Diceros bicornis minor: one gene and its partners. The protein of the gene in region 4 binds, or shares a complex with, the protein of the main gene of each other region. Links are inferred from orthologs where the notes say so. Each region holds a gene or a part of one and is shown on either strand. Other genes may lie near its edges. The genes, in order: CWC27, BCAS2, RBM48 and PLRG1.

The links.
Region 1: PLRG1 (region 4) and CWC27 share a complex: the UniProt entries of both Homo sapiens proteins name them as parts of the minor spliceosome. The link is inferred for Diceros bicornis minor from reciprocal best matches to the Homo sapiens genes PLRG1 and CWC27.
Region 2: PLRG1 (region 4) and BCAS2 share a complex: the UniProt entries of both Homo sapiens proteins name them as parts of the PRP19-CDC5L splicing complex. The link is inferred for Diceros bicornis minor from reciprocal best matches to the Homo sapiens genes PLRG1 and BCAS2.
Region 3: PLRG1 (region 4) and RBM48 share a complex: the UniProt entries of both Homo sapiens proteins name them as parts of the minor spliceosome. The link is inferred for Diceros bicornis minor from reciprocal best matches to the Homo sapiens genes PLRG1 and RBM48.

The regions. Positions count from the first base shown.
Region 1 is NC_080759.1:12,125,621-12,132,730, forward strand, and holds the start of CWC27 (spliceosome-associated protein CWC27 homolog), read right to left. Parts: upstream 3,010-7,110; 5' UTR 2,634-3,009; coding exon 2,592-2,633; intron 1-2,591. Other genes in the region: protein SREK1IP1, read left to right, coding at 3,259-3,271. UniProt on the Homo sapiens protein: As part of the spliceosome, plays a role in pre-mRNA splicing. Probable inactive PPIase with no peptidyl-prolyl cis-trans isomerase activity. As a component of the minor spliceosome, involved in the splicing of U12-type introns in pre-mRNAs.
Region 2 is NC_080743.1:47,233,645-47,241,165, reverse strand, and holds the start of BCAS2 (pre-mRNA-splicing factor SPF27), read left to right. Parts: upstream 1-4,505; 5' UTR 4,506-4,555; coding exon 4,556-4,648; intron 4,649-4,758; coding exon 4,759-4,851; intron 4,852-7,521. Other genes in the region: DENND2C (DENN domain-containing protein 2C), read left to right, coding at 211-297, 1,573-1,604. UniProt on the Homo sapiens protein: Required for pre-mRNA splicing as component of the activated spliceosome. Component of the PRP19-CDC5L complex that forms an integral part of the spliceosome and is required for activating pre-mRNA splicing.
Region 3 is NC_080742.1:29,967,018-29,974,708, reverse strand, and holds the start of RBM48 (RNA-binding protein 48), read right to left. Parts: upstream 3,005-7,691; 5' UTR 2,879-3,004; coding exon 2,768-2,878; intron 2,236-2,767; coding exon 2,045-2,235; intron 1,282-2,044; exon of another isoform or gene 1,107-1,281; coding exon of another isoform or gene 1,093-1,106; intron 473-1,092; coding exon 327-472; intron 1-326. Other genes in the region: peroxisomal ATPase PEX1, read left to right, coding at 3,237-3,365, 3,635-3,709. UniProt on the Homo sapiens protein: As a component of the minor spliceosome, involved in the splicing of U12-type introns in pre-mRNAs.
Region 4 is NC_080750.1:42,618,171-42,626,108, forward strand, and holds the start of PLRG1 (pleiotropic regulator 1), read right to left. Parts: upstream 3,007-7,938; 5' UTR 2,916-3,006; coding exon 2,907-2,915; intron 1,527-2,906; coding exon 1,420-1,526; intron 1,134-1,419; exon of another isoform or gene 1,062-1,133; intron 385-1,061; coding exon 242-384; intron 1-241. UniProt on the Homo sapiens protein: Involved in pre-mRNA splicing as component of the spliceosome. Component of the PRP19-CDC5L complex that forms an integral part of the spliceosome and is required for activating pre-mRNA splicing.

The DNA of each region.
Region 1 (7,110 bases), on a different chromosome or scaffold from region 4:
CACATCAGCCCTCCCTCTTCAGATTCTGGAGTCAGGCTGCCCAAAATCAAATACTGACCATTCCACTTACGAAGGTAAGATTAGCTTCGTTACCTTGGGTGTGATATCTAACATTTCTGTGACTCAACTTCCTTATCTAAAAACAGGCATAAGCATATTCTCATAGGTTTGTTGCAAGGCCAAAATGAGTTATTATATATATGTAGACCACTTAGAACAGTACCTGACAAATAGGAAATGCTCAAAAAATGGTAGCTAGTATTGTTGTAATTATTATTCTCATACAATGTTTTTGGCCACAGCAAACTTACATCCAGTAAAAAGAATGCATACATGGTTGGGCCACCTTGTTTACCAGGGTTTCTTAATCTTTCCACCAAGAAGCTACTGAATTAAAAAAGAAGGCACACAGCTCCCTCCTTTCACCATCACTACTTTGTCAGGCGTCGGTGGCTCCTTTTCTTAGAGCTCCCAAATAAGACAATACTTTGATAATAAAATGCTTCTTAAGAATAAACACATGTTAATATATAATTTAGATTAAATGATCATAATATGTGGAGATTTCATCTCCAGTGGATAAGGAAATTTCTATCAAGTGGTATATTTCTGTGCCTCATCTTCAGAGGCCAGAGTTATAGCATTACAGCAAAACACAGCACATTTATGGACAATTGCCAGGGGTCAACCACTGGTATAATACGTCAATTACTTCCCAAGTTGACACTATACTCTTTGAAGGGAGGAATTTTGTCCCATTTATTCTGAATATCTCTGTATCCTTTCAGTACCTAACGTAGCATTAGACACCACAGGTACTAAACTAACATTCATTGAGCAAGCTTATTATATCTGTATTAAATTCATTCCAGGCCAAAATTCTTGCCATACTCTCTATAGTACAGAACTTTGAAGCTTCAATGTCTTCAATCACCCCTCAGCTGGAAAAAAGTCCCAAACTGTGCTTGAAGGAAAATTTGGCCTATGTTCTCCTTCAGCCCAATTCTGTTTAGAAGAAAGACTGTATTGATCACAGTTTGCACAGACTTATTTGCATGATTATTCGGTCAATGTATACTTCACTCAACTGACTCCATGATAATAGAGACAATGCTGGTTTTTCTTTCCATTGTATCCCTAAAACCTAGCATAGATCCACATGAGCTAGGCGCTCAATAAATACTTGTTGAATGAAAGATCTCCTGTTCAGGCATGTATCTTTGTTAAAGCTTTTTATCTTTATGACCACCTCAAATCTTCCTCCAGAGTAAAGCAACTAAGTCTGCCCTTGACCAGCAGCAGTATAACCCCAAAGTCACTGATGTTTAATACTTCTCAAAAGTTAAGAGAAACATAGTATTAATTCATCCATTCATCCATTCATCCAGTACATATCTGAACTCCTTCTACTATGTATCAAGCACCCTTCTAGATGCTGGTCTCTGCCCTCACAGTACTTGCATTTTATGGGGGCAGGTGGAGGAGACAATAAACAATCAATAATAAGTACTGCAGAAAAAAACTAAAAGGGTTTAGGGAGCCAGGGAATGCTGGGATGCAGGAGATGAATGAGGTTTGCTATTTCATAGAAAGTAGATAGAAAAGGCCAGGGCCGGCCCCATGGCTTAGCAGTTAAGTGCGTGAGCTCTGCTGCTGGCAGCCGGAGTTTGGATCCGGGCGCGCGCCGCTTGTCAGGCCATGCTGCGAAGGCATCCCACATAAAGTGGAGGAAGATGGGCACGGATGTTAGCTCAGGGCCAGTCTTCCTCAGCAAAAAGCAGAGGATTGGCATGGATGTTAGCTCAGGGCTGATCTTCCTCACAAAAAAAAAAAAAAAAAGAATTCAGGTGATATTCCTTCCACTACTTAGTTCTCTGCCTCATACTGCATATAAAACACCTGGGATGGGAATTGACATAGCTTGACTGTCAAATCAATCAGGAAATCATTCTAATGTGGGAACATTTCCCATTCCCCATTTTCTCTAACAATCATCTCATGTTTTAAGACCAGCTCAAAAGATACCTCCTCCATGAAGTTTTCCCTACTTTCCCAGCTGCTCACTTCTCCGTAATAGCACAGCAATGTGCTCCTCTCTCCATAAGCACACCTACCAGACATATCCTAAGGCTTTTCTTTACCTGCCTGCCTCCCAACTAAACCATAAGCTCTTCTAGGGCAACAACTAGACCTTATCCATCTATATTTGTATCCCCAGAACCTAATAAGTGCCCGGTGCCTAGCTGGCGTTCAATAAACGGAGAAAGAGCCATCTCTAAGTTATGCGAAAAATGTCAAATTTTAATTTGTACTTAGGTTTTTACCTAAGACTCTAGAAAACACCTGCATGAGTTAGGTTAAAGCAAGAAATAGGGCCAGAAGGCTGGTAGATGGAGAAATCAATCTTCCCTTGAGGACTTTTTCAAGTATATGCTGAGAAGTGCCAATAGATGGTTTCCAGGCAATCCTGTTCAGAGGCAGGGGTAAAAACAAGACTTCTTGTGATCTCTCACAACCCTAAGATCCCAGGACTCCCTTCGTCAGTGAGGTATCACTTTGGGGAGCCCAGGTATCCCAGACGAGGCTCTCACCTTCCCGTTGGTGGGAGGCTCCTGGATGTAGATGTTGCTCATGCTGGTCAGTCCTCAAGACTCTGCTCTCAATTGGGGATGAGAGCGGACGGCCGATCACTAAAGCTGTCCACCTATTAGTACAGGCTTCCTTAAGTCGGGTGGTCGCGGAAAGCTCCAGTCTGTCAATATCCTGCAAGACAGCGACGCCAAACGCTATCTTTTCCCTAAGCTAGCTCCTCACGGGCGCCGCCATGTTGTTCCCGGACCCGAGCACCGCTAACCCTGAGAAGGGGGATTCTGATAGCCTCCAAGAAAGGAGAAAAGATTATTAAGCCGCTGTAGATTAATTTAATTTCTATTACAATTTTAAAAAGAACGATCCGTTAAGTCTTGGTGTTGTTTACTTCACTACATGCGTGTGCAGGTCTCATTCACCTCCCGAAGCTGGCAGTAATGGTTCGGACCGTGAGTGAGCTGCAATATGCGTCCCCCGGAAGCTGGATCAGTGGTTACTTGGTTCCGCTATCGCCAGAGAATTATAGGGGCCCCCCCCCGAACTGTCATCTAGGAGCCGCGGCGCGGGTGGGAGGAAGAGGCCGCCCTAGCTGTGCGTTGTCCTCACGGCCGGCGGGAAGCGAGCGCGCTCTCGAAATCCTAGGGCTCCTGCGACCCCTTTCACAGCGCCATGGCAGTCCCAGGTGACGAGCAACGGCAGGCCCCGGGGTCTGGGCGAGGAAGGGAGAGGGCAGGGTAGGTTGGGGCGCGCTGGACCAGGGAGTGGCGCCCATGGGGATTTAAGCGGAGGCGTTAAAATTAACAGGTTCGTGTGGTTTACGTGAAAAAGTTTACACTCCGGAAATAAACGCGGAAGGAAAGAAAGAAACGATCTCCCCTGCGCCAGCCAAGCTCCAGTTGCGCTGGATGGCTTACGGGGCCGGTGCGTCGTGGCGGAGGGAGGGTGGCATGGGGAGGAGAGGGGGACGGTAACCGTAGGCCCAGGGGCCGGTGGCTGAGAAAGACCGACCCCAGCGGCCAGAGGCATTGTTTGTAGTGCAAGTCGCAGGGACGAGATGGGCGCCTGGGGTTCTTCTCTCTCTGCTTGTTGCATTCAGTTGCTGTGTGGCCGTGGGCCGGTCGCTTTGCCCTTCTTGGCCTCAGTGTCTGCATCTGTAAACGGAGATTTGTTGATTTATGTCTCTGGTTCCTTCCAGCTCTCAGATTCTGGGTCCAGTCGGTACTGACTTAAAAACAGTGAACCCTGCGAAATAAGTGCCTGAGAGATTTCCCGTCCACAGCAACCGGCTTACTTGGAAGTTCTAGAAGGGGAGGGCATCTCCTTAAACCAGCTTTGCCGCGATGTGTTCTGCAGAACACTGGTTGCAGGAGATAGTTTGAGAAATATACACCCCCCTCATTTACTGCCCCCCCAATCTTGTTTTAACCTGCCCTTCCCGGTATTATTTGAGCATGTTTGTTCTGTGGCAGCCTTTTCTGAACCGTATTTTACAGATAGCTGTTATGGGAGGGTTGTGCTTTTCTACCAACTGCAGTTTGGGGAGGAGCACGGGGGTGGGGGGGAATTGTGAGAGAGGAAAGACACACTCATTCATACACATAACAATCTGTGTTAAGTGCCTACTGTGTGCTAGGCATTGGGAATACAGTGGTGAGCAAGACACTTGCTCTTCACAGAGAATTTACAATTTGGCTGTAAGGAGAAAGTACTAGAAAGTCAGACAAGTGTATGGTAGGGAAAATACAAAGCTTTCAGGAGCACATAGTAAGAGCATCTAACAGGAGACAGGGAGTGCACAGAAGGACTTTCCAAAGGATGTGGCATTTAGGATGAGACTTGAAGAATGCAGGAGGGGTGGAGTGGTAGGAGGGGAAGTTGCAGCCAGAGGGACTAGATACATAAAGGAAGAAGAAATGTGTGAGAAGAGGAAATGAAGATGTTCCTATGCATGGAACTCAGAGTACAAATGGGAGAGAAGTGAGACATTAACTAGAGAGATGATAACAGTAGCTAATATTTACTAAACATTTACTATGTGTCAGATCTGTCAGATACTGTGTCATGCATTGTATTTCATCTAGTTTAATATGCACACCCACACTGTGAGATAGATATTAATATTTCCATCTTACAGTGAGGATACTGAGCCTCAGAGAAATCAAGTAACTTGCCTATTGATACAGCTAGTAAGTAACAGATCAGTCTGGCTCCTCTAGACCCCACGTGCTTATCCATTTTGCCCTGTTATAGTGTCATTTACATGGTAGTTTCCAGCTCTTAATGGACCTTGTAAGCCATAACAAAGAGTTTGGTCATTTTCCTAAGGACCAGGGGAAGTCATTTAAGGTTTTTAAACAGATTCACATTTTGGAAAGATCATTCTGGCTGCACAGTAGGTTGGAGGGGAGCTAGTTTGGATGCACAGTCACCAGTTAGGAGTAATTCTGGTAAGTTACAATGATACCTCAGGTACAGTCTTAGGAAGAAAGAAGCAGATAGACTGGAGATATATTTTTGGTGGTAGAATCACTAGGAATCGGTGGTGATGTAGTCAATGTAGGTGAGTACTAGAGGAATGAGGTATTACCTGGGTTTCATTGTTAGGCAATTAGGTGGGGCTATTTACTAACATAGGCAACACCTGAGAAAGAGCAGGTTTCGGCATGATGATGATTTCAGTTTGCGCCTTGTGTTGAGGTATAGTCAGACATACTAATGGAAATATCTAATAGACAATAAGGGATAAAATTTGTAGCTTAGGAAAGAAGCCCGAGTCAAAGAACAATTTGGTGTCATCCACACATATAATAGGAGTTAAGTCCATGGGAGTGGATGCCTTTGCTCAGGTAGAGTGTGTAGAGGGTGAAGGGAAGGTCTGTGGCTGAAGCCTGGAGAATATCAACATGGAAACGGCCAGCAGGGAAAGGCCAGTCTGCACAGTAGATTGCCAGATCAGCCCTGGTGATCTTTGCCTCACACAGCTGCGTCCGAAGTTGACCTGCTGTCACTGTTGGTTTCATGACTTAAGCATTTTGAGCACCTACATGGTATAGGCACTTTCGGGGACACAATGTCATGGTCTGTGCCCTCATAAAACTTGTCTGCTAATGAAAATGTGCTGCTTAAGAAAAAGGACAAAAGTGATTTTTTTGTCCTTATTGAAATTCCCTTAAACTTAGACCAGTGTTATAGTTATGTTAACTTTCTTTCAATTCAAAATAATGCTTCAAAGTATAATAATATTAAATTGTGCCATTAAGCTAGATGGCCAGACATAGATAAACTGTTTAAACCCAGCAAAAATTGAGATAATAGGTATGACAGCGCTGTAAAAGTACAATGCGAGTGCCATTAGAAAATATAGATATGGAAAATATCAAGACAATTTCTTGAGTGATCGATCCAGACAGTGTATTAAAGGAAAATGGGGCTCCATCAGAAACATTTTGAGATAATCATCAAAAAGGACAAGTATTATGTTATGCTCTTTTATTTTTAGGTATAATGCTCATATGGATTCATCATGGCATTTTGTGGGTGGTCCTGCTGGTGATTATTACAAGGAACAACTGTAAAGTAATGAGGCTGCTTTCCACAAATGGGAATCAGCCTTGTCTGTTTTATGGTCACCTACTTCAGCTGTTTTTGCACAGAATTGTGTGTCAGCTTGCTCCATTATGTAGGTAACACAACGAAATGTGTGTTCTCTTAGAGAAATCAGAGACGCTTAGTGTTATTAAAGAAATGACATCTAAACACAGATTTCAGCAAAGTTTAGTTTCTTTTAAATACTGCTTTTCCCATTCACAACTGTTGAAATTAGTTCTGACATTCATGTTAATGATTCACCATTCCCCATCAAGAGTTGACCTGGCACAGGTGGCAATGGATGTTACTGATGTGGTTGGCGCAAAAACTGTTTTTCTCTCCTTCAGTGAAATCTATATAGCCAAGAAAGGGAATTTTCTACAGCCAAATTAACATTGCATCTGACATATCAAAGTGAGTCATATTCTTAAAACACATTACTACAGCATCTTAGTAATCGAAGAATTCTAAATTACACTACATCCATTTTACTCCTAAACTATACTATACATAATTTCTTTTCTCTCTAGTCTATGCTGTACGTTGCTGCTGAAATAATTTTCCTAAATCATGTTTCTGATTCCTGGGAGGCAGGAACTTAGTTCTTGACCCATATCTGTGAATTTTGTATTTCTCTTCAACCGGCATAACCTTTCTGAGACTCAGTTTCCTTGTCTCTGTAGTGAAGGAGTTGATGACTAAGCTTTCTTTCACTTCTAACCTTCACTTCTAAGCTCCACATCTCTGCAAGAATGAAGTGCACCCTCCTAGGCATGGCCTCATCGCTCTTGCTACCCTTTCCTCCTGCCACTTTTCTCGTGCATTCTACAATCTTTTGAATTGGCCAGCTATGCCCAGAACCTATCCTATGCTTTTCTACCTACGCTCTTTTGTTATCACTGTCCCTCCTTTACTGTTCGTATCTGGCTGTGG
Region 2 (7,521 bases), on a different chromosome or scaffold from region 4:
TTTAGCACTTGAAAGGCTTGAAAATAATATAAATAAAAAATAGCATAAAGCTACAAGGGCTCAAAATCTGAGTTGTTTATTATGGGAAATATTTATTTTGTAATATTATTTTAGCTATGGAAGTACATTGGTAGTGAGACCAGAGTTTCATTTAGTTGATTTTCAGTCTTGAGTTTTGGACAATTTCACCAACATGAATTTTCCTTGTAGGTTTGTTTGAGGTCCGGGCCCTCCAGTATTTGGAAACAATTCCTGAATCTGAGCCCAGTGGGGTGAATAGAATTTTGCGGAGTCTTGGTGAGTTGCTGAGTTTTCCTGTTAGATAAATGTGGCTGAAAAAGCTTTTGCAGTAAGCATGCCTCATCACAAAAGCTTTATAATCAGATCAACAATGTAACCTCAAGTAGGTTGACCAGAAACCATGACACTAGTTCCAAAGTGTCTTTTGGAAAAAAGAAGTCTCTTTCTCAGAGGTTGGGATTATCCATCAGAGTTGTCCATGGGGCTGTTTTCCACAGATAAACCTCCCTCATGATATAAGAATTTGCATATCATGAGTATTATTCTTTTCTAGGTCACATCCCTGAGAGAATCTTATAAAACTGCGGACCTTTTTCCCAGGAAAATATACTTGGAGCATTCAAACAAATTTTGCATATAAATTTAGGGTGTTCATGGACCCCCCCTGAAGCCCATCCATGGACTCCACACCTGGTTTAGGGCCAGCCCTGGTGGCCTAGTGGTTAAGTTCAGTGTGCTCTGCTCCGGCGGCCCAGGTTCAGTTCCCGGGCACAGACCTACACCACTCGTCTGTCAGTGGCCATGCAGTGGCTCACATACAAAAAGAGGAAGATTGGCAGCAAATGTTAGCTCAGAGCAAATCTTCCTCGGCAAAAAACAAAACAAAACAAAAACACCTGGTATAAAGGAAGTCTGAGGCAAAAGGATTTCCTGCAAGTCTGTAATTTTACACTTCATAAAGAAACACTTTATGATTTTTCAATTTTAGTTAACTTTTAATTATCTAGTATGATATAGGAGAACAGTAGTGTGGTAGCCCAAAACATGAAGAACCTATATTCTATGATATTTATATTGGTCTTTGAAATATATCTCCCTAATTAAAATTAGGCCCTATCCTTAACTAGCTGAGAGACCATGGACATATTATACTTCGGCTGTTATTTCATCTTTATACCACGGGGTTAGATAAGATCAGTGGTACTCAGCTCTGACTACAATATTATAATCTCTGGGGAGCTTAAATAAAAATCATTCCCCCCACACCCTGCTCCCCCTGGGTCCAAGAAATCTCTGGGGAGCAGGCCAAGTGATTTTACCTACAGTTAGGGTTGAAAACCACTGGATTAGATGATGTCTGAGTTCTCTTCCACCTCTACAATTAGACACTTGCAGAGTTTTTTTTGGTGGTTAAACACAGCTGATAGCTTGAGATGGCAGCTTATTCCTGGGCTGTTCTGAATGACGAGGTTGTTAATCTCTTGCCTCAAATAATGTACAATAAATAAAAACAAACTAATGAGAGTTCACTCTACTTTTTTCTCCTTTTAGGAAGTAAAATGAAATTTCTGCAGAAGAAATGAAATCTTTGATTGACTATCTCCATCCTAAATAGAACAGATAATGCCAAAGAAAATATTTTCAGAAAGTCAGGATGCCGTGAAATATTCTACAAAATCCTTGAAAGTTGAAAAGGTTACCAAGTGGGCCAGGTTCTTGGAGGAGGATTCTGCTGTTGCTGCCGTAGTAATCACTGGAGAATTGTTGGGAGTAATCTGGAACCAATGCTGTCTCTACTCTGCCTCCGATTTTCTTTAAGTATTTGATTCTTGGGTTCATTCTTTGTGTTTTGTGCTTAGACTATGAAAGCACTTGAATTTTACAAGCGAAAGACTTAGTGTTGCATTTTTTAAAAAAATAGCTCAAAGATGAGCACAATGAGAGAAATGCTGAGTTTAAGGTCCTAGAGAGGCATGCTAGAAGTGGAGAATACTAGCCCTACACACATAATTCTCATCACTGAAACACCATGGCAGCTTTAAACCTATGGGCTGTTTGAGCTGAGCTAAGGAATATACTCATCATATATATCCTTTTTTTTTTTTTTTGTCTAATGTTCTGTCTAGGGGAATTTCACTTATGCAGAAGCCCTATTTATTAGCACTATTACTGAGTATCTTATACAAGTAGACATCTTGCAGCTCCTCCACATTGTGTGGCACTTGAGTAGCTTGTCCCTTACGTGTCAACATTAAACTTTGTGGAATTATAGCTAATAAGAATATGTCCTTTCAAGGGCATGAGAACTACCTTTTGTGTGTGTGTGTGTCCGCCATGTGCCATGCACTATGGTATATGTATGTGTGTCACCTTATTGATTCTTTAGATCAACTTTATAAGATATTTGCATCTCCATTTTACTAATGAAGAAACTGGAATTCAAAGAGGTTAAATAACTTGCCCAAAGTTATACAGCAGAGCCAGAACTGAAGCCAGGACTACTAGTTTATGAACACAGAGAAAGTTGGTTAGTCCTGCAGATGGAAATGTGAGCTCTGTGGGATTATGTAGCTATTGAAAAAGTTTTCTTTTAAGCCGAAGTGTACCAGAGGCAACTCTTAGGGACTTCAAACTGTGGGTGCCTAGATAAGACTCTTTTTTGGTTCCCCTAGATTCGGTGGACTTTTTGCTCTAATTAAATTGGATTCAGAATATGGATATTTTCTGGGCACACATGACATAATCACGCCGACCCTTAATATCTATCTAAAGAAGTAGTAGTGATTGGAAAGGGGAATTTGTCAGTGATGGTACAATTTTCATTGATAAATACTATAGCAAGTGTCAGTTTGTTTTCTTCTATAGCAAGTGTCAGTTTGTTTTCTTCAATTCCTGCTGATGGTTTTAACTGGCATAAAAAATATTTATTCAAACTTAACAAAACCTTACAAGTTGCGTTATGATCAGTTTATTGACTTGTACAGTGTTGTCATTACAACCCGTTCAGGTGTGCATGAATGAATCTAAAGCAGACATCATTTAAGACTGGTGCTGTATATTATAGTTACTATAGATGTGGGTCCAGAAAATAGAACTGAGCCAATGTCTTTTAAAAAATGTTTATTAAGCAGCTTACCCCAGTGGGGCTCTTACCAGACATCTCCCCATTTGGTCTCTTCTGACACTCCAACCCTGAGGGGACAATTAGTAATTGGGAATTGAGTGTTTATAAAATGGGGGTAGGAGGTATTACTATGGTAGATCCTGGCCAACCCTATGTGAGGGGACCTTTGCTTCAGGGATGGGGGTCTTATTTTATCCGTGCAATCTGAAGCTGCTTCCTTTTCTTAGGCCTGTCTTATTTTGTTTTTGTGAAGTGTTATGAATTCTGGACATGTTTGTAAAAAGAATTGCTCAAGATTTGCATAAAATGTTGTTTACAGATCTTTTAATGAATAAACACAAAAATTCCATGGATCTCTTGGAGAATTTTAAATAAAACTGCATAAAATGTAGACATCTTTTACTTCCCTTAAATCTACAGCTAGCACATTTATCTAATGGTAGGTTAAAAGATAACCCAAATCGAGTCTAGATTAACCAGACTTAATAACCGTGGCCAACATTTCCAGGCTCCTGACAGACAAAGCCTGGGTCTAGGACTGCACACCGGGCAGGGTATATATATAGTCCGACTATGTATAGTATATATATATATATACTGGGAGCCACCGACTAGAGACAGTGCACCGGGAGCAGCATGGGTGGTTGGGAGGCAATGCGGAGCGCTATTCTATTGCTGGAAGTCTTAAAGGCAAAATGATTGGATTTGATATGCGTCTTGAAGATAAAATGACAGGATTTTGAAAAGTTGGGGTTGGTGGGCTGTTATCAATCTCGCCCTGGGGGTAGATCTGGTTCCTTTTGTTACGCAGACTCCAGAGCTTCGAAATTTTAACTGGAGACTGGCGCCTACTTCTCGAGTCTGTGAAAGAACTACACTTATCCAATGCGATGGTTCTCTGGGCGCCGAGAACGAAGAATAGTGGAAGTACACCAAGGAAATCCAGGAGAGAGAAGCCTGGCACAAAGTAAGAGAAGTTTAAGGGGAAAAGGCGGAAGGTTAGGGGAGTAAGACGAGGTAAGAAAACACTCTCTTCCCGCCAAATCCTGCAGCCAGTTCCCTCCGAAATTTTAAAGGATTCCCCTCCCAGGTATCAGCGTTCTGGAGGAAACCAAAAGTCTTAACTACTCTCCAAACTGCTGCCAGTCGGAAGCAAAAAAGTGGAGCGTGCGGAGACAGGAAATTGAGATGTTCCGCTGACTCTAGGAAACCATGTCGTGACGTCACGTCCGACCAAAACAAAATGGCCGGGCAATTCCTAGTGCCTGGGCGAGCGTGCCTTCGGCATTAGCAACTGAGCATGCGCCAAAGCCACTGCCCAGGCGACGTGCTTTACGTCGGTGATGGGCGCAGGCGTATTTCGGTGGGCCTGAGTTTGCGCCGACTCAGAAAGCCCAGGCGAGCTCAAGAATGGCGGGTACTGGTCTGGTGGCCGGAGAAGTTGTGGTGGATGCCCTGCCGTATTTTGACCAAGGTTATGAAGCGCCCGGTGTGCGGGAAGCGGTGAGTTCGGGGGTGTCTGTGTTGCTGACTCAGCGCTCGCTGACCCTTCGTGCTGAAAGAGGCGCCTTACAATTTGCTGGCTGTACCCTGGTCCCTGTTCTCCTTTTTAGGCTGCGGCGCTGGTAGAGGAGGAAACTCGCAGATACCGACCTACTAAGAACTACCTGAGCTACCTGACAGCCCCGGATTATTCTGCTTTTGAAGTAAGTGTGATGTCTTGAGCCCAGCGTATGAACCAGGATCCTGTGAATCGTTCTTTTGGGTTGAGAGCCTTAGCCACGTAAAAGTGAATTTTAAATTCCGGCTTTAACTATTGCTTGCTTAGCTACTACTTCCGCTGTTATAAGGTATCACCAGCGCATTGAAAACCGTTAGATAAGCTTCTTCTGGGGTTCTTATTCTGAGACCCACAGAAGGACTTTCTGGAGCTGTCAACAAGCTAACAATGCAAAAATTAGTGTGTACGTTTTTCCGAGATGGGTTCCTTGCGTAAATTCTCGAAGAGATCCTTTACTCTCTAAGGTCCGCTCTAAAACAAATGATCTAGGGTTTTTTAATATATGTAAGTCTCATTGCCTAAGCTCTTGAGAACCACTGGAGGGCGGCGTTTAAGTGCACCCAAGATACTATTCAGGGTCTAATCAGCTAAATGAAGTGTAAAATATCAATTCTAAATTAGTGAATTCTGGTAAACATTTTAGTACATACATGTTTGGGTTTTTTTCCCCATTGTAGGTAACCATTTATTTATGAAAGAATGCTGTTATTAAAACGCAGTATTTAGGGCTGGCCCCGTGGCTTAGCGGTTAAGTGCGCACGCTCCGGTGGTGGCGACCCGGGTTCGGATCCCGGGTGCGCACCGACGCACCGCTTCTCCGGCCATGCTGAGGCCGCGTCCCACAAACAGCCACTGGAAAGATGTGCAGCTATGACATACAACTATATCTACTGGGGCTTTGGGGGAACAAATAAGTAAATTTAAAAAAAAAGGCAGTATTTATGTTGAAGTAACGTGAAAAAACATTGGTTAAGTTTTAAGTAGGAGAGAGATGTTGCTATGATACGGTATTTTCCCATGCTCTTTCTAAATGTTGTTACCTAGTTATAGTCATTACCACATTAAGAACTAAGCACAGTAATGCTTATTAGATTGATTTCTGAAAGTTTCAGATAACTGCATTCAATCACAAACTTTTAAATATTTGAACCAGGGCTGGCCCTGTGGCTTGGTGGTTAAGTGCGCGCGCTGCGATGCTGGTGGCCCGGGTTCGGATCCCGGGTGCGCATCGAGGCACCGCTTCTCCGTTCATCCTGAGGCCGAGTCCCACATACAGCAACTAGAAGGATGTGCAGCTACGACACACAACTATCCACTGGGGCTTTGGGGGGAAAAAATAAAATAAAATAAAATCTTTAAAAAAAAAATAAATAAATAAATATTTGAATCAGTTTTAGCATTTTTAGCTCTCTTAAATACAATGCATGCTTCCTATCTTTATAATTAGTATACTGATTATGTAACCCTTTTTAATAGTAGGAGCTAATAGTGTACTGGGCTTACTATTTCAGTCCTAAAAACAACCCTGTGAACTATGTATGTGTATTATCCCAATTTTTTAAAAAGGGAAACTATAGCTGAGAGAGGGTAACTAATTTGCTTAAGACCTTAACCACTCTTCAAACTGCCTTTGAAACTGTTCTTCTTTTAATTCATTTAACAATTATTCATGAAGGGCTATTCTATGCCAGGTATTGGGGAACAGGATGGGCAAGGTCCATAGTCATGGAGCTTATATTCTAGAGTGTGGAGACAGACAAATAATCAAAGAATATCAGATTATTAATAAAGCTATATAGAGGATTGTAAAGTAGTGATGTGATTTGGAGTGACTGGGTGACTATTTAGATAGGATGGTTGAGGAAGACCTCTCTGAGATGAGAATGCTCCATGGACAGGGATCTTCTTTGTCTTCTTCTCCACTGTATCATCATCATTTAGAAGGGTGCATGGCACACAATAGGCACCTAAATGTTTATCAATTGAACGTACAAAGAGCTTCTAAGACAGTTTTATTTAACGAATGCTTACTGTGTGCCAGACATGCCCAGAGCTCTTTTCATGACTTAGCTCCATGAGTGTTGGCTCAGTCTTTGGAGAGAGTTGAGTTAAAATTCCAGATCTGTCTCGTACTGGCCATGTGAGTTAAGTAAGGGCTCCTGTGTTACATGGCTCCAGACTGCTTGTACTGCATTTTTATAGTTTCTTATCTAATTGTTAGTTGTTACTCCGTTTCTGTTACTGTACATAGCCTTCTAGCTAGAATGCTAGAGCTACATGTAACTCAACAATAGTCCGAAAAAAGGCTTTCTCCAATAAGAAATGCTCGATGCAAAACTTTTAAACAAGGAATGTGTGATTCCAGAAGGCCTTTTTTGCTTACTCTTTAGTCTAATTGTTAAGATAGTTGAATCCCTCGAAAAATTAAAATTACATGAGATAACTAAGATAATACCGTAAATGAATATTTCACTTAAGCAATTCTGTATTCTCAGGGCAGGAAATGTGCAGAACTCTGTGGAATAGGATATTGACCAAAACATTGGACCTAAAGAAGTTGAGCTATACCACATTTTTTGAAAATAGTAAAATTATTAGAGCAGCTAGCAGAACCAGTTCCTTTTGTCTCTTCCCCCCTTCTCCATTCTTTGCAAAGAGTAAAGTGTGAAAATAGCAGCCTGAACCAAAAAGAAAGTATAAGTTTAGGCTCATAGCCCTAACACTAATTGTTTTATGTCCAAGTCCTTTCTTCTCTTCCCTTACCCCCAGTGAATACTTAGAACCATGGTTCTCAACACTTGCTTCACTTTACAGT
Region 3 (7,691 bases), on a different chromosome or scaffold from region 4:
TGTATGATGCTCACTTATTCTTCTGGGCCTTTAAACATGCTACCTGGCCAACCTTTCCATCTCTTCCTCTCCCCTTCTGGGTAATATCTCCCTATCCTTCAAAACTCAGCCACCTCTTTCGTCCTGTAGGAAGTCTTCCACCAAGCAGCCTCTCTCTCTTCCCAGCCCAGGTTCTGCAGACTGCTGCACAGAACTCTGTAGTTTACAGTTATTGAATATTGTGATCATTTACTTGCCTCTCTTCCCACTAGACTGAGAGCTCCATGATGATATACCTAGCAGAGGCCCTGACACATAGGAGGTGTTTAGTAACAGGCTTTCCATACCTTTATTGTTAGTAGTTCTTGCTACATAAGCCTTTCTTTCTTGTAATTTTTTTCTAGTTTCTTCAACAGTCTCAAATTCTGGAGCGTAACACACATGAAGCAATCCACCAAAGAAACTCTGTTCATCCATTTTCCTCTTGGCTATCCTAAACAGAAGTACATGATAGCATGGCTGATTAATCTAGATTTACTTAGGATGAAAGCTTAACTAGTATACAATGCATTGATCTAAAGACCAAAGTCCAGCTTTTGCTATGTGTATGTACATCCCATGGTTTGGGGATTAAGAGGCTCTGCTTATGGATGGTATTGACCCTACTGATTCAGTGTATACTCTTAGAGCCTTCCCTGCCCTCTCCCAATAGTGTTAACAGGTTTTGAGCTAAGTCATCCACACATATCCAGACTCCTTTTAACCAGCTCAGGATCCAGCAGTTAGCCGGAGGTACACAGTCTGTGATCATGAAATAGAAATCTTCTCTGTGTTAAGTTAAATGGCCCTTCAGAGTTAGCTCATACCCAATTTAGCCTTTTCAGCACAATGTATTCCTATAAAGGGATTCATATATAAAAAATTAATTAAAATACTGTAATTGTAAAGCTTTCAATAATTGAGGAAATATTGAATATATAACTAATCAACGAGAAAATGAGAGAATAGTATTCATTCAACAAACACTTATTAAACAACTACGACTGGCCAGGCACTACTATAATAAATACTTAAGTACTTATATGCCCAGGGATAACGAAAAGAAATACTTACAGAGATTTTACCATGCACCAAGCAGTGTCCTAAGTGCTTCACTTGAATCAACACTTCACAACAACCCTATAATACAACTGAGGACTGGGGAGATTTATAACTTGGCCACACTCACATTAGTTTATGGACCTAGGATTCAAATCCCAATGTTGAACTCCACAGCATACTGTACTAGGTGCTGCAGGAGATACAAAGAAAAGGTAATTCCTTAACCATGAGGAGCTGGCAAGCTGGTTAGGGCAGTGAGATTACATATAAGAGCAACCTGAGAACAATACATGATCCCATCAAGTGTTTTTGTGGCAGACTACAACTGCTATTTGTAGCACAGAAAAGAAAATATTAATTGTAATAGCCAGGGAAGGATGGGTGTTGGAGCAAATCAGTGACAACAATAGAGGTATACCTAAAAACAGACAATGCATTTCATACTTCAGCCTTGTTGGAACAGAGAGTTCATGTTACACAGAAGGCTGGAAAAGATGGGGTCCATCCTCATAGGCACATAACAATAAGAACCTCAATAGCTAATGTTTATTGCGTTCTAAACAGGAGGCACTATGCTAAGCCTTTTATAGGGATTATCTCATTTCATCTCCACACAACCTCAGTAAGTAGGCCCTTTTACCACATAGATTTTAGAGAATAGGAAAAACAGGCTTAAAGGAATTAACTTGTCCAAGGTCATGATGTTAGTAAGTAGGGGAACTGGAAAACTTACTCCAAACCCAATTTTTAATCTACACACTACACGACAGAAAACTGCTATGCATGGGAATGACATGATGGAAATAGTTTTGACAAGGCTAACATTCAAGAAGAAAGGAGGAAGATAATACAACAGGGCCATGTTAGGTTATTGGGTAATTCAGGTATGAATAAAAGAAACCTTGGGCCAAAATGATAGCAATGGAAATAGAGGAAATGAGACACTGCTTAACTGGCATATTACCTTGCACTTTGTAAATTCATAAATTTAATAAGATAAACTTCTGTAAAGTCTTCTGCTGGATATTCATCTAGAGCATTATACTGTTCAATTGCACCATATAGAGCAAATCGCTCAACTAATTCCTTCATCGCTCCCACTGCAGGAACTCCTTGTATTAATAAGTATCGAGATTCCAAATTGACTGTATATACCTAAAAGAAACGCAGACACATTAAACGTATTTTCTAAATAAGCCTAGGACAAATCTGCTGTTTTTTAAAAAAGCTTTGAAAACAACAAATACTCTGTTCAGTCGGTCTGCAGGAAACAAATCAAAAATTCTGCCCCTCTCTCTGCATAAAGAATAATTCAGCCCACGTGTGAGGGCCTCTAACTAAAGCACAGACAATATTCCTTCGACATGTATTCCAGAAGTGGGCTCCGTAGAAGTTACTGGAAAGAATTAACAAATATTCACTTGCCGTATGCCAAGTACTACTGTAAACATGGAAGATACAGTGACTAAAATAAAGGCCCGTTCTCGCGGAGCTGACGTTCTAGCAGCTGACCAAAAGGGTCGTGAGAATCTTCGGTACCTGAGTACCAGTGTTACTCATACCCATCTCCAATGAGTGACGGATATGACCGCAGCCTTTCAAGCTTTTATTTACGTAAACTAGGCTTGTGGAGCTAGAGCTCACATAAAGTTACCGAGGACAGCGAAGGAAACCAAAATCACTTTACCTTGACAGCGCGAGGCCGTCGCCCCTCCCGATACTTGGCCCTTGTGTCGCATACGGCCCGCTGGACGTGGTGGTCGAATACGCCCCCAAGCTCCCGACCACTCGACGCCATCTTGCCGGTTTGGGCTCTTGCAAAGACGACAACATCCGCCTCGCCGCACTGCCGTGTATCCAATAAGAGAGAGGGATAGGTCAAGGCGTGCCGGGATTGGCTAGAAATCGACAGCGGGGGGCCATCGTTTCCTGCGAGCGAGGACTCGGTGCAAGAGGTGCCGCCCCCAGCGGCGCGGCGGAGAGGCGCGCAGAGCGGCACAAGGCTTGCTTGGCCGTCCCCCTAGCGGAGCGCGGCGAGAGGCGCCGCGGGCACAGGGGGCGGGGCGATCGGCCGCCTCCGGCTCCGAGGCGCTCGGCCTGCCCGGGCGTCCGGCGTCAGCTGGCGTGGGCGGCCGGGGCCTCCGGGCTTGCTGACGATGTGGGGCAGCGATCGCCTGGCGGTTGCGGGGGGAGGCGGAGTGGCCGTGACCGTGGCCTTCACCAACGCTCGCGACTGCTTCCTCCACTTGCCGCGGCGCCTCGTGGCCCAGCTGCACCTGCTGCAGGTAACGCGGCGGCCCCAGACGAGGTTCCCAGCCCCGACTCGGGGCACCTAGTCGGCAGTCTGGGGTCGGACGGGGCCGAGGTCTTGCAGGGACGCGGCGGCCGCTCAGGCCTCTCCCGGCCGCGGCCGCGGGCTGCCTTCCCGGCGCCGCCGAGCTTTCAGAAGCCAGTCGGAGGGCCCCTCGAGGGCAGGGCCGGTCTGGGCAGTGTCTGCAGCCCTCTCCATGTCCAGTGCAGCCCCGGGTCTTCGCGTTACCTTGCCTCATTCCAGGTCTTTTCACTCGGTGAAACTGGGCTTTCAAACATCCTAATATTCTACCTCTGCCTTCAGATATCCTCACTCCAGGTTGGAAAAGCTCTTGAGAAGTCGTTTTTGTTTTTGTTTTAAATGTTTTCCCCGGCAGCGATTTCCAGGTGCCTGCACTGCTGTGGTCCGGGCCCCCGGGGGGGAGTGGTGTGCAAATATGTTCGCGGAGCCCCTGTAGGTTAACAGGGACTAAGCACGGTGTCCCGTGAGCGGGATAGGTTAATAAAATGAAGGTTCTTCTCTGTGTCTCCAACACTCAGAACACCTCCGAGGGGTGCCAGGAATGTGCAGTGGGATTATGCATATTTGGATGTATGTAATTAGGTATACTTGAACCTCTGCTGTCAGTCGCCCTGGTGGACGTTGTGGTGGTGGTGGTTCATACCTCTAACCACTGGTGGAGTAACATCAGCCTATTTTCATAATTAAAACTAGAGGCACCTAGTGTACGAGTTTGAGTGTGCTTATGGGGACAAAAGGATAGAATATTGGAAATCCTCGGAAATCCTGGATGCATGGTATCCACCACTGGCTAATCCATGCAGGAAATATTTAAGAGTTTGCAGTAATTTCAAGTATCCAACCTTTCCACGTTAGCTACTTCCCCATAACTATTTTTCTAGATTATTGCGCCCCCCCTCCCTCCTTTTAGAGCATACCAAATTCAGCAGATCCTTCCGTTATTTCTTTTACCATAAAGTAGACGATCTTTTGGCCCTGATGAGCTTCCTTCATGGCTGGAAACGAGTTAGTTAGTGGCAGCAAGTCTCAGGTGGACCCTGCCCCGTGCTCTGGGCTTTGATGGAGATTTTCAACATGCCTTCAAATCCCCACCTAACCAGTTTATAGGAATAGACTCCCCACCTAATGAGTTTATAGGAATACTTCTTTACAGCAACTCTAATAACTTGATCTTAAGATGTGGATGCTCTGTTACATTCATCACTATTTAAGAATTTAGTGGTCTTGATCTTTCTTTTAAATTTTGACCCTTTAATAGTTATTCATAAGGGCCGGCCCCATGGCTTAGCGGTTAAGTGTACGCGCTCCGCTCCTGGCGGCCCTGGTTCGGATCCCGGGCGCACACCGACACACCGCTTCTCCGGCCATGCTGAGGCTGCGTCCCACATACAGCAACTAGAAGGATATGCAGCTATGACATACAACTATCTACTGGGGCTTTGGGGGGAAAAAATAAATAAATAAAATCTTTAAAAAAAAAAAGTTATTCATAAGAATTAATTCATGGATCTCTTTTGAAACTTAAATCTTTTCTGCCTTGGAATGAATTGTTTTTTCTATCCAGCCTACATCAGCAGAATAGGCCAACTTTTCTCCCCAATTATAAAATTAATACATATGTTTCATAGAAAATTTAGAAAACAAAGAAAATTATAAACAAGAAAATAAAAGTTACCCATAATCCCCAAACCTAGAGGTAACTAATATTAGCAGTTTGGGCCACATCTTCCAGTTTTGTTTCTAATCTTTATTTTTAACGAAATGAAGTCCTACACACACACGCATATACAGTTAAAGGTAATCATCATTTTTAGTGGTTAATTAGTATTCTATCATCAATTTGCCATAATTTGTTGAATTGTTCACTGTGATTAAACATATATGTTGTATTCAATTTTTAGACATTAAAAGTGATACTGTAGTTACATTTTAATAAAAAGTTAAAAATAGGGCTGGCTGGTGGTGTAGTGGTTAAGTTTGCATGCTCTGCTTCGGAGGCCCGCGGTTCATGGGTTCGGATCCTGGGTGCAGACCTACATGCTGCTCATCAAGCCATGCTGTGGTGGCATCCCACATACAAAGTAGAGGAAGATTGGCACGGGTGTTACTGCAGAGACAATCTTTCTCACCAAAAGAAATAAATAAGTAAATAAAAAGTAAAAAATAGCATATCTTTGTTTATAAAACATTGTTTTCACTTCTGGTTATTTAGGTTCTCAGAATTATTGGTTTAGAGGGCATAGATAATTATTAAAGCAGAAAGTCACGAGTTGGGAGTTAGTAGGTTGAATTATTTGGGCTAAAGTATTGAGTACATAATACACATAGTGCTGTAATGGTAAGAGGGTCAGAACAATGGTTTTCTGGCCTGTGTGAGACTTACCTTGAAGCTTTGAAAAATACAGATATTCTGGCCCTTCTGTAGACCTACTGAATCAGAATCTTGGGAAGTGGGCTTCAGGCATCTGTAATTTTTAAAATATCTTCAGGCTACTTGGATGCACAAAAGAGTTGAGACTCACTCTTCTAGAATCATAGATGTTGGTGATGAAAGGGACCTTAGGTGTCTAGGTCATTTCTGTACACATAAGGAAACTGGCACTCTCAGGCTGGTACCATTTGCATGCTGTTAATTTGCCATCTTGTCTAGAACTCACTCTGTGTCATTCAGACTAGCCTTCTCACTTCTCACCCAGCTCTCTTCCACTTCTGTACTCTTACTCACACTATTCTTCCCCAAAACATTTTTCCTTATTCCATGCTGTTAAAAACTGAGCGTAATCCTACCTCCTCCACATAGCTTTCAGATTCTCTCTTGCCCACATTTGTCTCCTTTTCAGAACTTCAGTGCTGTTTATGTGACACATCTCACTTGTTACACTCTGTTCTGTGTTTCAAGTATTGTCTTCTTTTGTTTATCCAAGCCTTTGTTTCAGGATTAGGTACGCAGTAGATCCTTTAACTCAGGATTTCGTCACTTTGGCACGGTTGACATTTTAGGCTGGATAATTTTTTGTTGTGGGGGCCTGTCCTGGGTATTGTAAGATAATTAGCAGCATCCTTGACCTCTGTCCACTAGATGCCAGTAGCACCCCTCCGCCCAGTAGTGACAACCAAAAATATCTCCAGACGTTGCTAAATGTCTCCTGGGGATCAAAATCACCCTCAGTTGAGAACCACTGCTTTAGGTCGGTTACTTTGTCTGTACTCTGGGCTCACTGCTTGCTCTAATTGCTAACGGGGGAAAGGATTTGTATCCATGCTGAATGCAAACAAATGAACCTAAATCGCCATCCAGAAATGGCCGGGTATAGATTTGTCATTTCCTTTGTGTTAGCAAGAGATAACCCAGGCCTCAGACCTGGCCAGGTACCACAGTGTCTGGCCACACACCCAGTTATGCAAGGAGTGTGAAATAGGTAGTGAAGAGACCAGAGAAAAGACCTGGAGACGGCGTACGAGACATATAGGTTTATTGGGACTTATGTATAGGGAGTGTCCAGGGGCAGCTGGCTGGACAGAGTTGTGCACCTGCTACTGTGGGCAGAGAGGGGTTGTTTATATAGGCAGGGGACAAAGTCTATGTGCTTGCCAAGAGAGACTGCCCTTGGTGCAGCCAGCGTTCCCTGGAACAGCAGCTCACGTGGAAGGGCTCTGTGTTCCTTCAAGACATGATGTTCTTTGAGTGAGATCTGGGTTGGCCAGGCCATCCCAGCTGGTTGGCGTCCTGCCCAGGATGGGGCCAGGAGGACACAGGATTGTAATAGGGCACGTAGGTTATTGCTGAGCAGGCAAAGCCCTACACACAGGTTCGGGCAAAAGCGGGCAGTCAATCATTTGTTGATTAATCTCCTGGAAAAGAGACTCCTTTCTCTCCAGTCTGTTTGTTCCTCCTCTCTACCTGAGTGCCCAGGGGCTCTGTGGTTCAAGTGAAAAATTGTTGACATAAAAATGGACTGAGGACATTAGTCTGCAAAGTTTACTAAATCCCACTAAACATGTGTTATGACTTGATGGAGCTGGTTACTACATTTTGACCAAATGAATAATTGAAGTATTTTTCCTGTTTAATAAAGTTGATTTTTCCTTTTTCCAGTGTGTTGGTGGAATTCTCTTTTTTGATATTTCAGAGTGTATTTCATATTTCTTTATTTAACCTCTGGTTTTAAATGTTTCTTCGTATGACCTGAGTTGATCTGGATTAGACATCACTGACTCTGAGGAAGCCCCTTGGAAAGCACCTGGAGGGTTGGTCGCCTTCACTCTTGTGACCTCAGCT
Region 4 (7,938 bases):
GAAGTTCTGCTATTATTATACTACCACTTTTTTATGTTGTATAAGAAAAAGTCCACCAACCAATAATCTCACTCACTACTTCAATGAGGAAATCTAGACTTCCATTATAATACTGGTACAGCTATTAAATAGAATATGGCTTTAATTAATCCTGCCAGGAGGGGCACTAATAAGACGTTTCACATTTCTATTTTTAAAATTCACATGTAAGTCCTGACATTTCAGACAACACCATACTCACCTTGATTGGCAGGATACTGTTTATGACCATACGAATCTGATGTATTCTGAGGGCCCTTTTCTTTAAAATTTTCTTTTGAAGTAGGCATATGCAACACAGGACCATACTCATTACGCAGCTTGATTGCCATTTTTCGTTTGTGACTATTTAAAAATTACAAACATGAAGAATGTATCTTTGAGTACTTTAAACATACTCACCAATGTAAATATACTCACAGATAGCCAGGAAACAAGTACTTAAATAGTTTAAGTTTGCCTAATCATGTAGAAAAAGTTTCTATTATGATTTTAAAGTTAAAGAGATTTTAAAAAGCTCAAAATTTCCAAGTGCATTTCCACACTTTTGTTCACAATCCACCACTTAGCATTCATTAAGTCTAAGTAATATTTCAGTTTGTTAACCAATAAATATAAAATCTTTCATGATGAGTTATCAAGGGTCTGATTTAAAAATATATAGAAACTAATATATCCTTTAAAAAAACCTCAAAGTCAATAAACTTTCCGTCAAATGTCTAAATATAAAAATATAGTAAAAGCTTCCACAGAAATGTTTACTGGATGTGTATCTAAAAGAGTCAGTTAGAACTAATCAAAGTACTTACTTCAATATTTTAAAAAGAAATGCACTTATTATATTACTTTTAAGAATAGTCTACCTTATAAATTATATATATATGCTTGTTTGAGGAACTAAGCAGATTTTAATAGAAGGTAAAGGACAAAGAAGGAACACTGCACATAATGCAATCCCAGACTGGAGCTGGAGATGTAGAACCAAAAATGTGCCACCACTCAAAAATCTTCACCATACTAACGAGAAAAGATGGGAGTAGAGGTACTGGCCAGGTACAATTTCAGCTCAGCAAGGCTCTGAGAGCAGCGGGAAGCTGAAAGCACATACAAAGTGATTGATTATAAAATATAACACCTAGAAGGGACTCTCCTAATTACTGGGTATTTGTAAAATGCAATTAATTAATGGGAGTTTTACTGTAAAAGATAAGGCCAAAAAAAGTTAAATCAGCATAAATTATGCCCAAACACCACTCATTATTGAATAGATATCCTATGTTAGTATTACTCACTAATCTTTAAAGTTCCCCCTCTCCCTGCTCTCTTCCCCCAATATTAGAAGTTTAAATATTCTAGCAATTGAAAAGGAACTACACCTACCTCTCTTCATCCAAAGGCACAGGCTTTCCATTATCAGCTACAAACATGTCATGGGTCCTCTTCAGTGACCTGAACACAAGTGTGTGCACAGAATGTTTCTGTACCTCCTAGAAAGAAACAGTGTAATTATATATCTAGCTACAAATTACATACATTGTAACCTAAATTAAAGTCAAATTAGTTATACACGTTACATGTTAAAATATGTAAAAAACTTCGTACCACTCACCACAGCTATTTGCAGCAAACTATAAGAGTCAAGTTCAGGGAAGAGGAGGAAGCTCCTCTTTGGCCAGAGCCCCAGGTATACCAACTGAGTGATGCCTGAGATTAGTCATTTACTCAATAAATATTTACTGAGCTCCTACTATGTGTCTGGCAGGTACTGTGTTAGAAGCTACCAAGAGAATGATGAAAAGGCAGTCATGGTCCCTGTGCTCAAGAGGAAACAGACAAATAAAAATAAGCAAAATAACTCCACATTTTGATAAGTGCTATGAAGGAAACAAGCAAGGGGCTGAGACAGAGAACAGAGGAAGAACTTAGGATAGTTATGAAAAATCTCTCTGAGGTGATATTTAAGCAGAAAGAGGAAGTCAGCTTAGCACAGAATAGAAAACAATCCAGGCAGAGAGAAAAGGTGATGTACAAAGGTATTCAGTAAATGAAAAAATGCCGGGAGCTGTGCAGTTATATATGTTCGCTGGGAGGGCGGGTTGTGATGCAAGATGAGGTTACAAGGGTAGACAAGGTCCAGATCAGGTAAGCTTTTTTAGACCATTGCAACAATCTGTAATTTTGCTCTAGTAACATAAGGCCAGTAAAAGGTTTTAAGCAAGAAAAGCATGACCAACGTATATTTTAAACAGATTAATTTATGGGGGGAGGGGAGTACAAAAATGGAAGCAAGGAGACCAGCTGGGAGCTACTGCACCAGTCCAGGAGAAAGATGATGTTGGTCTGAATTAAGGTGACGGCAGCAGGTATGGACAAGAATCAAGAAATATTTCTGAGATAAGACAAGGCCTGCTAATAGAATGGTTGTTCAAGCTAAGGAAAACTGCAAAAGTTTAAGAATGGCAGATTTTCCTGGGGAAGGGCTGAACTAAGACACAATGTGAACATCAGAGACGACCGCCAGTCTCTTGGGACACAGAATCACTGACACTACCCCGCAGGGGGCGAGTACCCGCAGTGGAACATCAACAGAAGTCCTGCCTCCGAGGACAGTGCCCAGGTCCAGTGCCCAAGGATCAAATGAGGACGGGAGGAATTATCTCAGGCTTCCCGCCAGGACGGAACCTCCAACTCGTGCTCTCATCCAGCCTCTCCCACCTGAAGAAGAGACTCCCCGGCCTCGGCCAAACAGGCTCCCCTCGCAGCCTCTACTCTCCCCAGACTCCCAACACCCTCGATCCACAAAGCCCGCCGCCAAAGAAAACCAGTCCAGAAATAAACTACTCCTAACCACCCAAGCGTCACTTTACCTCCACCATGATGCTGCTGTGTATCTCGCTGCTCCCGCAGAAAAGAAACACTAACCAACGCAGAAACCGCCGCCACAACTGCACAGCCCCTTCCGGAATCGGGCGCCCCAGCGCCGGATGTGACGCAACTCCGTGCACGCGCGCTATTGGCCCACAGGCCTTCTGGCGGCGAGAGGCGGGTCTTTCTTCTCGGGCCGCCTCTAGGGCGGAGTTTCGGGACTGAGAAGCGGAAGCTACTGGAATGTATGGGTCGAAGGTTTTACTCTCCTCTTTGAAGAGTTTTTGAGACGACGGTTTTTTTGCCTTACTCTCAGCCTTAATTGTTTCGGTTTAGGGGTGTAGTTTGTGCTGTGTTCCCCAGAGATTAATGCTTTTTCTTCATAGAACCTCAGGAATCAGTTCTAGGTCTGGAGAGAGCAAACCTCCATCAGCCGTAAGGCTTTTCCACTGTCTTGCCCTCTTTGGGGGTTGCCTCCGCTATTTATGTCGCCTGACTTCACTATTTGGCTAAACTTGACTGGACGCATTTGGACGCCTTTGTAGCCTTAATGCCTAAAAACAATCCCACTGACACTGTCCACTAAACACTTGTTGAGTGAATGTTGCAGAATAGTTGTTTCAATTTGAGAAATTTTGTAAAAGAATTTTAACAGCATATGACAAAATCCAAAATTTATTTTCCACTAATAGATTTCTTTTCCCTAATCTCTCAGAACTGCATAACTCTTGGCTATTTCCTAGTTGTCTGCTGATTAACGTGGCTTCAACAATGCCAGGGTATAGCTTTTCTGGTGTAAGAAAGATACAACTGAAGACTTCCGCCATTTTTATTCATACACATCCTGGTGCCCAAGTGTTGGTATTTTGCTTTGTTTCCTATCCAGGTAAACTCTGCAGTTTGTGATCAATCCTGTCCGATTATTTTTCTATGTAAAAACAAAAATTGATGGAGTTGAACGTTTGCAAACTTGAATAGACAAACATTTCACTGGATCTGCTTGTTCCTTAACCATAACCAATTCAACTCATCTTGTCCCCAGAGCATACTGCATATACTTTATGGGGGGGAAATTTATCAGAAGTATAGCTTTGTGAATTGATAATCTTATTTAGAAATTTAATACTTTTTAATTCATTGAAAACATTAAGGTCATGTTTCTACTTGAAAAATACAGCCATCTCTGATTTTGAGGGTGAGTTTGGCTTAAGAAATGATTTTCTGTAACTGATTTTCTGATGATAGGCCTTGGCAAGGAAATGCCATAATTATAAAATATATACTTGGGAAACTGAATCATATTGTAACTTACCTATAGATAGTAATAACTATACAAAAGAACATGATTTTAAATAGCAATGAAGTTATAGAAATGTAAGCAAGATTCTAATATATCTAAGGCAATATAATAACTATCTAGTTGGGCCTATTAACTTGTTAGTTAATCCTGAAAAAAATTTATAAGCCCAAACTCATAAAATAATTGTAATAATTGAGGTAAATTGCACTAGATTATGCTCCTTTTAAAAAGCTCTTGTGAATCTACAAAATTATATTATCTACTTGAATGTTTTGGATAGATAGAGCTTAGTGACCCTAGTTATGTCAGGGATCCATGAATTACGTATATTGTAATTCATGTAATTACGTATATTGCAAATTTTTTTATATATATAAAAACCTGAATTTTTTTCTGGTGAAGAGATCTGTAGGTTTCTTTGGATTCATAAAAGGATCCAGGAACCAAAACAGGTTAAGAATCCCTGTCCTGGCAGACACCGAGAGCTGCCTTATTTGAGCAGTAGGGGTCACTGCTGCTCTTCATAAGAGTAGGAGGATTGTCCCCAGAGCAGGCATGGTGACTAATTTATTAATGTAAATATTATTAAGTCTATTTGTGTGAAAACAATAGTACAAATTTTAAGGAAGTCCTCCTTTCGTTGGTTAAGCTACTTTCTTTTACTCATCAATACAGGCGATCTCTTTATTCTCTTTCAAATGCTTGTATCATTTGCCCTTGAGTAGTGATAGGTCACATAAGTGAAGATTTCAGTCATTTTCATCAGCTTTTTATCAGATTTTTTATAGGAATAGTTTTCTGATTTTTATGCTGATAAAAATGATGAATATTATTATTTCTTCTTACTGTTTCTCTCAGCTTAGAGGGTTAAATATATAATCTTTCTTAGACACTACTCTATATATCATATTCTTTAGAGTTGTTTGGCTCACTGAGTCCTTTTTCCCATGAATTTCAGATTTGCAACTCCTCACTAATTTAAAAGGGAGGAATGGTGGAAGTTATCATTTCTTTTTGAATTCCTGAGGTCAGAACCTGTGAAAAAGAATACTTGGGCATTTCTTCCAGAAGTTTGGTCTTTGATTGCTTATTACAATGCTAAGAATGGACCCAGATGCCGAGGTAGTGTTGGTAAGTGCTTTTTCGCAACACAGTTGAGAAGAAAGCTTCTGGAACTACAGGAGACAGTGAGGGAGCTATTCTTCCAGCTAATGCCTGGCAAGGCCCGGGACATGATTAAGCTGCACTATGAGTTATAAACTTCTTAGCAAGGTGTGTGTGTGTGTGACACAGAGAGAGCGAGGAGGGAAATGTTGCTTATCACAATTTTGCCTTCCTCTACTTTATGAAGTCCCATCCATGTCACAAAAACAAGTATCAAAATTGAACATGATCATGACTCATAATTTGTCTTTGTGTTTCTATTTTGCAAAAATATGTCAGTGTTTATGCTGACAGAGAAAAATAGCGGTGTGACATTTTCAGTTTTCTTGGCTGAGTTCATACGCTACCATGTTTGATAGTATATTTGTTTAATTATCTGTATTCCCCAATAGACATATGGGGTCAGTATGGTGTGATATTCATTATTACACACTCAGTATCTAGTTGACTTGCAACTGGTAGGCTTTCAATATTTGTTGAATGATTGAATAAGTAAGGTGTTAAGTTTTAGACACTTAAATATGGGGATGGAAGGTGTTGAGACCTTAATTTTGATGTGGGGTTGCAGGTATTAAATCTGTAGGAAGGATGTTGTGTGTGTCTGGATATATATGGTATGTGCTCACCCTTGAAAAGATGCTACTATTTCAACAACCATTAATTTAACTTAACCCTTATCTGTGTGTAAGGCAGTGAATTGCTTGTATGAGGATGGTCTGTCTTTCTGATCATTGTAAATTTTATTAAAATGAAATATTTTTCATTGTATTTAGGCATGTCAGTGCCAAATTTTATTTAGTTTATATAAAAGTTAATTCTGACATTAAGTTATCAGATACTAATTTATTGGTAAAAATATATCATTTGCAAAAATGGGTTTAGTTGGCAGAAAAACTTCTTGACGTCAATAATTAAGAAGATTAAGGCATTTTGATGGTTTGAATATTTTACTATTATAATTTAGGCATTTTTAGGCTTTCTTTTAAAAATATACCACCAAAAGCCAGCATCAAGTTTATAGATTAACATTAAAAACATTCTCATTAGTCAGCCACAAAACTAGAATTCCTGCTATTCATCATTATCGTCCACACTTATTTTTTCCTGAAAGTACTAGTCGTGCAGTTGGATGAAAGAAGATGTAAGCAGTATAAAATAGCAATAATGAAGCAAAGCTATCTTTATTTGCAAACAGTATGATGGTATGCCTGAAAAAAAAACAAACAAGAAATCAACTAGAAAAACTACTGGAAATAATAAAAGGGTTCACTAAGCTATCTGAGTACAAAAAAAATATTCAAAAATCAAGCTTTCATATATGCAGTTGAAAAATATAATAGGGAAAATATCTTATTTAAAACAGCAATAAATGAAAAATATGCAAGACCTAGGTTAAAAAAACTTAAGGGACATAAAAAAAGGTTTGAATCAATGAAAATGCATACTTTTTTCTTGGATAAGAAGACTCAAAATTATAAATATGTATGTTATGCCATTAACCTAATCCTGAGCACATTTTACAGAAAATATTCTTAATTCAAGAAATAGTTATTAAATACTGAAAGATTTTTTAAATGAATGTTACTAAAATACTCCAAATAAAATAGAAGTTTTCATTTTCTACAGAGTTTTACTGCTGATGCTATATACTTACTGTATAAAAACTTTTTGTGATTTATTGCAGTTTGAAAATACAGCTTCTCTTTCTAATGTGCAATTTATGCTTTAAAAAAAATAGTCAGTCTGAGTCTTAAAAATTTGATCTTGATTTTTCTTTTGGATTAGTTCAGCAAACCCCAGAAGCATCTCAGCCTAACTCACCAAAAGATAACAGGGACATAGGTACTATTAGGAGGACATCAGGTGTCTCACAGGTTTGACAGAAGAATCAAATGATCACGTTTAGAAGTTTTGGTTATTTCTGCTGCTGGAGTTGGTAGACTTTCTCTCTAGAATGCTGCCATGAATATGACATGAAGCCAATTGACCTGATTCTCTGCTTATTTCCTTTGCAAACATTAAATTGGGGGAGAGAAGCCGGTAGGGTTGGCTTGGTACAGGGTCTGCCCATAGCTCAGTCACCTATGGCTCGATGGTAAGGGTATCACAACGTGAACAGGACCACTGGAGCCCCACTTCTGCATTTTAGGGGTCATTCCAGGGGAAGGGAGCAGCGCTCCAACAGGTGTTGATTATACCCTTTGTGGATTTGAGTCTCAATGTGACAGAAGCAGAAGAGCAACTCTGTGTTTTCTCTAGCTCTTGTGATCAGCATTAGGTTGAAGGAGAAAATGTTCTATTTTTCCTTTATTGCCAGGCTCTGTATTGGATCCCTTAAGAAAAGCAAACTGACATCTTTCAAGTCAATAGAGGGAGACACTCCACAAGACACAGAGCTAGCTCCTACTCTTCTTCCCTGCAATATGCCTTCCCATTGCAGGTGGCTAACCAATGACAGCATCTCCCCTTGGATAGTGGTTCTCAAACGGGAGCTCAGGATAAGAAAAGAAAAATACACACAGAGACCAACAACGATTTAGTATAGTTTTTCAAAAGCTGTTCCTATTTAG